Saccharomyces cerevisiae S288C: one gene and its partner. The protein of the gene in region 1 binds, or shares a complex with, the protein of each later gene. Each region holds a gene or a part of one and is shown in the gene's direction. Other genes may lie near its edges. The genes, in order: NOP7 and YTM1.

Region 1 (4,285 bases):
ACTTTTGTATCATATATTGGAAGATCCCAGAGCACGTCGATACTCAAAAATGCTCCCAACTTAGAGGACAATGTCACAAATCTTCAGAAAATTATACCGAAACGGTTCTTTTCTCAAACATCAATTTTGAAATCAAGGTGGAAGCCTATATTCAATGAAGAAACTACTAATCGATACGTACGTTTGAACAGGTTTCAGCAGTACCAGCAGCAGAGAAGCGGCGGCAATCCTCTGGGCTCTATGACTATTTTGGGGCTCTCTTTAATGGCAGGAATATATTTTGGCTCCCCTTATTTGTTCGAGCACGTTCCACCCTTTACGTATTTTAAGACGCATCCAAAGAATCTGGTATACGCGTTATTAGGCATCAATGTTGCCGTATTTGGACTATGGCAGCTACCCAAATGCTGGAGGTTTCTACAGAAGTACATGTTGCTGCAAAAGGATTACGTAACTAGCAAAATTTCGATAATCGGAAGTGCGTTTTCACATCAAGAATTCTGGCACTTAGGTATGAACATGCTAGCGTTGTGGTCCTTTGGTACTTCACTCGCAACAATGTTGGGAGCATCCAATTTTTTCTCCTTATATATGAATAGTGCCATTGCAGGTTCTTTGTTTTCGTTATGGTATCCAAAACTGGCACGCCTAGCCATTGTCGGACCTAGCTTGGGTGCCAGTGGAGCGCTATTTGGGGTTTTAGGATGTTTTTCATATCTATTCCCACACGCTAAAATTTTGCTGTTTGTTTTCCCAGTCCCAGGTGGGGCTTGGGTAGCATTCTTGGCTTCAGTGGCATGGAATGCAGCTGGTTGTGCTTTAAGATGGGGGTCATTTGATTACGCTGCGCATTTAGGTGGCTCTATGATGGGGGTCTTGTACGGATGGTATATAAGTAAAGCTGTAGAGAAACAAAGGCAGCGTCGCCTTCAGGCTGCTGGTAGGTGGTTTTAATCACTTAAAAAAAGACACATTCTCATTCGAAATATTGTAAATACTGCTATGTCTTCTATGTACTTAATCTTATTTATGCATTTGAAAAATATTTCAGCCTTATCGTGGTGGTACATGTACAAGAAAATTCATAGGCAAAAGAATATATAGAATAGAGCGTATGTGTTACTTTTCTAAGTCTTACTTCCTGTTTTTGAGTAGTCCCTCTTTGACAACAAAATATGCATTTTTGGATTCCGCGGCAAGTCCAGTTGCTTTCCAAGATCCGCTAACTTCTCCTAGCTCAGCATCCTGCTTTTGGTGGCTGATGCCTTCAAGTAGCTTTGTGTAGTTCAGCTGTTTCGTATTTCTTTGCACCAACCGAGCATCATATTCCTTGGTGTGCTTTTCACCTTCGACAGGTATGTTATGGAGTTTGTTGATGAATGATAATTGCTTGGCAAGTCGCATTTGAATTTCTTTAATATCTGCTCCTTCCAAGGGAAGACCTGATAACCGCAACAATTTTTTTACAGCTTCAGCAGACGGTGGCTCTAGTTTTTCCTCTTTAGTGTTTATGCCTAAATATTCGTGGACGGACCATACAGGTCTTGATAAATAATCCCTTATTTGATTCATATTTTCAAATTTTTTACCAATCTTTGCCCCTCCCGTAGATACGAACCGATGACTTCCATCATGGCATAACCCACCCACTGTATGTGTTCTGCATAGACGCCATGTTTTGTACATCGTTCTAGCACTATGGGTAAGTGCAAATAGTTCGATCTAAAAGCCTAAATGCTAGTCACTATTACCTCCTTGATGTTATATTTACAGAATAATGTCATGTCGTCTGTGGTGACTATTATTATTGCCTGAAAAAATTAAAGAAAATTTTTTGCGATGAGATGAGATGAGAAAAAATGAAAAATTTTGGAAGGTTAATTAGAGATGTGTAGTAAATCCTGCTGGTGGAATACATTTTATTCCTGTAGAAAATAGTATAGTAACAGCGGTATCCTACTTATACAATGAGAATCAAGAAGAAAAACACCAGAGGTAACGCAAGAAACTTTATTACCAGATCTCAAGCTGTGAGAAAATTACAGGTTTCTCTTGCTGATTTCAGAAGATTATGTATATTCAAAGGTATCTATCCTAGAGAGCCAAGAAATAAAAAGAAGGCAAACAAGGGCTCTACTGCACCAACTACTTTTTACTATGCTAAGGATATTCAATATCTAATGCATGAGCCCGTTTTGGCTAAATTTAGAGAACACAAGACTTTTGCTAGGAAACTAACAAGGGCTTTGGGTAGGGGAGAAGTCTCTTCTGCTAAAAGGTTAGAGGAAAACAGAGATAGTTATACTTTAGACCATATTATCAAGGAGCGTTATCCAAGTTTCCCAGATGCTATAAGGGATATTGATGATGCTTTGAATATGTTATTTCTTTTCTCTAATTTGCCCTCTACCAACCAGGTTTCCTCGAAAATTATCAATGATGCTCAGAAAATCTGTAATCAATGGTTAGCCTATGTTGCCAAGGAACGCTTGGTTCGTAAAGTGTTTGTATCCATTAAAGGTGTTTATTATCAAGCCAATATTAAGGGTGAAGAAGTTAGATGGTTAGTTCCATTCAAGTTTCCAGAAAACATCCCCAGTGACGTTGATTTCAGAATTATGTTGACCTTCTTAGAATTCTACTCGACTCTATTGCATTTCGTCCTATATAAGTTATACACCGATAGTGGGTTGATTTATCCGCCAAAATTGGATCTTAAAAAGGATAAAATCATAAGTGGTTTGTCATCATATATTCTAGAATCCAGACAAGAAGACAGCCTACTAAAACTTGACCCAACTGAGATTGAGGAAGACGTAAAAGTTGAAAGTTTGGACGCATCGACATTAAAGTCTGCCTTGAATGCCGATGAGGCAAATACTGATGAAACAGAAAAGGAGGAAGAACAAGAAAAGAAACAAGAAAAGGAACAAGAAAAGGAACAAAATGAGGAAACGGAACTAGATACTTTCGAGGATAACAATAAGAACAAGGGTGACATCTTAATACAGCCAAGTAAGTACGATTCTCCTGTTGCTTCTTTGTTTTCTGCATTTGTTTTTTACGTTAGCAGAGAAGTTCCGATCGATATTCTTGAGTTCTTGATCTTATCTTGTGGTGGTAATGTCATCAGTGAAGCTGCTATGGACCAAATTGAAAATAAGAAGGATATTGACATGTCCAAGGTCACTCATCAAATTGTTGACAGGCCAGTTTTGAAAAACAAGGTAGCTGGCAGAACGTATATTCAGCCACAGTGGATATTTGATTGTATCAATAAAGGCGAATTGGTACCTGCCAACAAATATCTTCCAGGGGAGGCTCTTCCACCTCACTTAAGCCCATGGGGTGATGCTATTGGTTACGATCCAACTGCTCCTGTCGAAGAAGGCGAAGAAGAAGAAAGTGAAAGTGAAAGTGAAAGTGAAGATCAAGTTGAGGAGGAAGATCAAGAAGTTGTTGCTGGAGAAGAAGATGATGACGATGACGAAGAGCTACAAGCTCAAAAAGAGCTTGAATTGGAAGCACAAGGTATCAAATATTCTGAAACTTCAGAAGCTGATAAGGATGTCAATAAGTCAAAGAACAAAAAGAGAAAGGTGGATGAAGAAGAAGAAGAAAAGAAATTGAAAATGATAATGATGAGTAACAAACAAAAGAAACTTTACAAAAAAATGAAGTATTCTAATGCTAAAAAGGAGGAACAAGCTGAGAACTTAAAAAAGAAAAAGAAGCAAATTGCCAAACAAAAAGCTAAACTGAATAAACTAGATTCCAAGAAATAGTTTTCTCTTCTTTTCCAATAGCCTCTCAAAAATTTTGTCTTTTAATTTAACATCTTTATTACTTTATAATTCCTCGGTATAGCAACATTAGATATATAACTACACATTTTTGTTTGTAGATATAGAAATACCTGTACATTAAAAGTGGTTACTGTTGTTCTGTATAACTATATGAGTGAATTTTGTAAAAATATGCCCAGGTGCCAATGATTATATTAGAATATTTCCATGTGCTACCCTCGAGTCCATTGACTGTCTATCGGGTACACTTAACTCTATATAGCCTTGTAGTTCCTTTTTTAAGTTCATCAAGGCAGTCTCTGTATAGTTTATACGATCGATATCGGTCCCCCTACTAACATTGATGTATGCTTTTAAAAGGAACCCTCCGCTTGTTATTTGTGAATTGCCTGCTTCTTCTATTTGCCAAATTTTTTGTAACTCAAGTATTAAACCATGCTTCATAAAAAATTTCACACCAATTGTAAGATACTGAAATT
Region 2 (3,986 bases), on another chromosome or scaffold:
TTTGGACTTTTGTTGTTTTGTAACCTCTAAAAGGGTTGCACTCAAGAAAAAAGGTTTTCCATATCGACTTATCTGAGTTTCTTTTTTTTGCTTTTTTTTTTTTTAGCCCATTTTTTTTTTGACGCATTAGTCGTTAATGATGATATAATGTCCACGTGATGACATTTCAATCTGCAACAATAGCTCGGCAACTGGATTACTAGCAGTCATACGTATGTCAGTCACTACACATATATATATATTAATGTTTAACTAATTTTTTTTTCTTATCTATCTGATATTTATTCTATAACTATATAAATTTGTCTCTTCACTTCTAAATACCTCTGTTAAAATAGACCTTTTCAATTGGCTTCCCATCCTTATCCTTCTTGCCATGTAGTTCAGGTTCTAGTTTATTTAAATGGATTGCTTGTCTTTGAGGGAAGATACCGAGTGCAAATGGCAAAGCTGAGAACATTGTGACTGAGATCAACCCCAAATTGGCCAAAGTTTGCACACCGAGAGACTTACCTTTGAGGACACCGCGTTGTAGTCTAACCAAAATCAAAGGTGGGATGACCATAGTTGGAGTGGCGTTAATCACTCTACTTAATGCAGTTTCACCAACTGCCATGAAGGCAGCCTTCTTGGACTTTCCGACTTCGTCACCGTTAGAGTCAAACACAGAAATACCCTTTCTAATTTCGTTGCCTCTCATTAGGAAGACGTTGACAATACCGGCACTGACCACGGCGGCAAATGGCACCAAACGGCCCAAGATCAACTTTGAATGTGGAGAAATGTTTTTCAACCTGGGAACTAGGTTATTTAGACCTAACGCAACACCACACGACGCAGTTACAGCGGCAGCGTAATTGGTGAGCAATTGGGACGTGGACATAGGATGAGATTTGTTTGCGTTAGCGGAATTAACGGCGACGTTTAGCGATTGATTTGCCCATTGCCAAAATACAGTCCCTGCCGTACCCAAACCAGGCGTCAGCATACCTACAGTAACGACTAGGTTTGATAGCACGTTGGAAGACATACGGAAGGGCAAAAGAACTGTCTTCCCTGTGTCCGGATGCACGGTGGAGTCCAGTTGTTTCTTGGCTCGCCAGAACTCCGGAGTAGTCTCTTTTAGTTCACCGTGACGATACGCACTGATGATTTCTCTAGCATGCGCCAGGTCCTTCTCAGTAGTTAACAACATAGTGGGGTCGGAAATCTCTGCGCAATGGCGGATTCTACCCCAATACGTGGATAAGTCATAGCGGGATTCGGGCAAATCGATGGGCCCTGGGACTGATGATGCCATATTTCTCTGCCTTGTTTATTTTTTTCTTTCGATGCTGTGTGGTTTTATTATTGCTAACTTGCAGTGGTCGACGCCTTTGAAAACTGTAAAGCTGATGCGAAGACCTAACAGTCTCTTATCCAATTACCTCAATCTGGTACGCTCCGGTACCGGACGCCAGTACGAAAGAAAAACTTTTCGTTCGTCTCGGGCACCATTGGTATAAAAAGCGCCGAGGCAGCGATCATTTTTCTAGTATTACTCTTCTTTCATTTTTTAGTTATCTTTGATTTTCGGTTCCGAAGAAGGCATGATACATATTAAACATGCCTTCTATTCACTGTGCCATCTTACATCCGTAGGTGATCAGAGGGGAAAAGAAGAGCTAGAGCAACTCCCACACTCATGAGCGTCCTCATACTGTTCTGGGCGCTTCTCACAGGTGCTTCTTTTAGTGTCTCCCATTGGCCCAGATCGGTAGCTGCGCGAGTGAGATATCTTTCATTCATTTATATTTATCTGTAGCAATAGCTTCCTTTACTATTTTATTCTTAGGGAGAACTTTAGCTTATTTCTTGCACAAGAGGGTTTGACAGTTTTCTGTTACCCGGCCAGTACTTCAAAAATTTTTCAAAAATTTTCTGAAGTGCTCATCTCATCGCAAACCGTAGGAGCAGTGAAAGGCATATGCTCATCTGTATAATTGCAAAAAGACATATTCTATGTTCGCAGAACCAATACGTTACCTAAAGTTTTAAAGACAATACCAAGGGAAACTGCACAAATTCAATATGACAGAAGATAAATCGCAGGTTAAAATCAGGTTTTTCACGCGTGAGAAAGATGAATTACTACATGTACAAGATACTCCAATGTACGCCCCCATCTCATTAAAGAGATATGGGTTGTCCGAAATTGTCAATCACTTGTTGGGCTCGGAAAAGCCTGTTCCTTTCGATTTCTTGATTGAAGGTGAATTGTTACGTACTTCATTGCACGACTATTTGACCAAGAAAGGTTTATCGAGCGAAGCCTCGCTGAATGTAGAATATACCAGGGCAATTCTTCCACCATCCTATTTGAATAGTTTCAGCAATGAGGACTGGGTTAGCTCATTGGATGTCGGCGACGGTTCCAAGCATATTATTAGTGGTTCTTACGATGGTATAGTTCGCACCTGGGATTTATCAGGTAATGTGCAAAAGCAGTACAGTGGTCATTCTGGCCCAATCCGTGCAGTAAAATACATTTCCAATACAAGGCTAGTTTCGGCTGGTAACGACCGTACTTTGAGATTATGGAAAACCAAAAACGATGATTTGAAATTAACTTCACAACAACAGGCACAGGAAGACGATGATGACGAAGTAAACATAGAGGACGGTAAGACACTGGCTATCTTGGAAGGTCATAAGGCACCAGTAGTCTCTATTGATGTTTCAGACAACTCAAGAATATTATCTGCATCATACGACAATTCTATTGGGTTCTGGTCTACTATTTATAAGGAAATGACAGTTGTTGATCCATTAGAAGATATAAACAATCCAAACAATAAAATATCCACTGCTGCTAGAAAAAGGAGAAAATTGACAATGAAAGATGGTACCATTAGAAGACGTGCCCCTCTGTCTCTGTTAGAATCCCATACAGCTCCTGTTGAGCAAGTGATCTTCGATTCTACAGATAATACCGTTGGTTATTCAGTATCACAAGATCATACCATCAAGACATGGGATTTGGTCACCGCGAGATGTATAGATACAAGAACAACATCGTACTCGTTGCTTTCCATTGCTCAATTGTCGACTTTGAACTTGTTAGCATGTGGGTCCAGCGCCAGACACATCACATTGCATGACCCACGTGTGGGAGCGTCTTCCAAAGTTACTCAGCAACAACTAATTGGTCATAAGAACTTCGTTTCCTCTCTGGACACTTGTCCCGAGAATGAGTATATATTATGCTCGGGTTCTCACGATGGTACCGTGAAGGTATGGGACGTCAGGTCTACTTCTCCGATGTACACCATAACAAGAGAAGACAAATCGGTCCAAAAGGGCGTCAATGACAAAGTTTTTGCTGTCAAATGGGCTGAAAAAGTGGGTATTATCAGCGCTGGTCAAGACAAAAAGATTCAAATAAATAAAGGAGACAACATTTTCAAAAACTGAGAAAAAACTGTTGTTGTTTTTATGTAGAATAATGTACTGATATACTTGAAATAAATTTGGTTTTGCCAACAGCTTTCGCAAATTTCTGTCACCTTCTTCTTTATGTAAAACGACATTACTTGCTAAAAAAAAAAATACTTCTATGATAATGTGTACTTGTATGAAACTTCTATAAATTTAAATTGGTGAATTTTATCCAGCTATCCCCCAATTTACTATTTGAATATATGCAATTGTGATCTGTCTTAAGACCTTTTCAAACCATTCTGGCGGAAGCATCGGTGGCCATTTCCGTATACGAATAACCGTCTTCATTATCCTTGATAGCTGAGTATAAACTATTGGAAATGGGTTCATTACGATTTTGCGCATGTTGCCCGTCCTCGCGATCAAACGAGGCAGGAACGGGCTGCGTATGGGTCCTGCGCAGAGATAGCCTTTCACCTGGTTTTTCTCTAGTCGAAGGGTCTGTTTCCATGGTCCTTAACGTGGTCATCCTTGTTAGATTCAATTCACCATCGACAGCATTTACG

What was found.
Region 2: NOP7 (region 1) and YTM1 share a complex: the UniProt entries of both Saccharomyces cerevisiae proteins name them as parts of the NOP7 complex.

The regions. Positions count from the first base shown.
Region 1 is NC_001139.9:693,450-697,734, forward strand, and holds NOP7 (mRNA-binding ribosome synthesis protein NOP7), read left to right. Parts: upstream 1-1,967; coding exon 1,968-3,785; downstream 3,786-4,285. Other genes in the region: rhomboid protease PCP1, read left to right, coding at 1-954; GTF1 (glutamyl-tRNA(Gln) amidotransferase subunit F), read right to left, coding at 1,135-1,686; SRB5 (Srb5p), read right to left, coding at 3,996-4,285. UniProt on the Saccharomyces cerevisiae protein: Component of the NOP7 complex, which is required for maturation of the 25S and 5.8S ribosomal RNAs and formation of the 60S ribosome.
Region 2 is NC_001147.6:830,743-834,728, forward strand, and holds YTM1 (Ytm1p), read left to right. Parts: upstream 1-2,070; coding exon 2,071-3,453; downstream 3,454-3,986. Other genes in the region: FSF1 (Fsf1p), read right to left, coding at 317-1,300; TPO4 (Tpo4p), read right to left, coding at 3,710-3,986. UniProt on the Saccharomyces cerevisiae protein: Component of the NOP7 complex, which is required for maturation of the 25S and 5.8S ribosomal RNAs and formation of the 60S ribosome.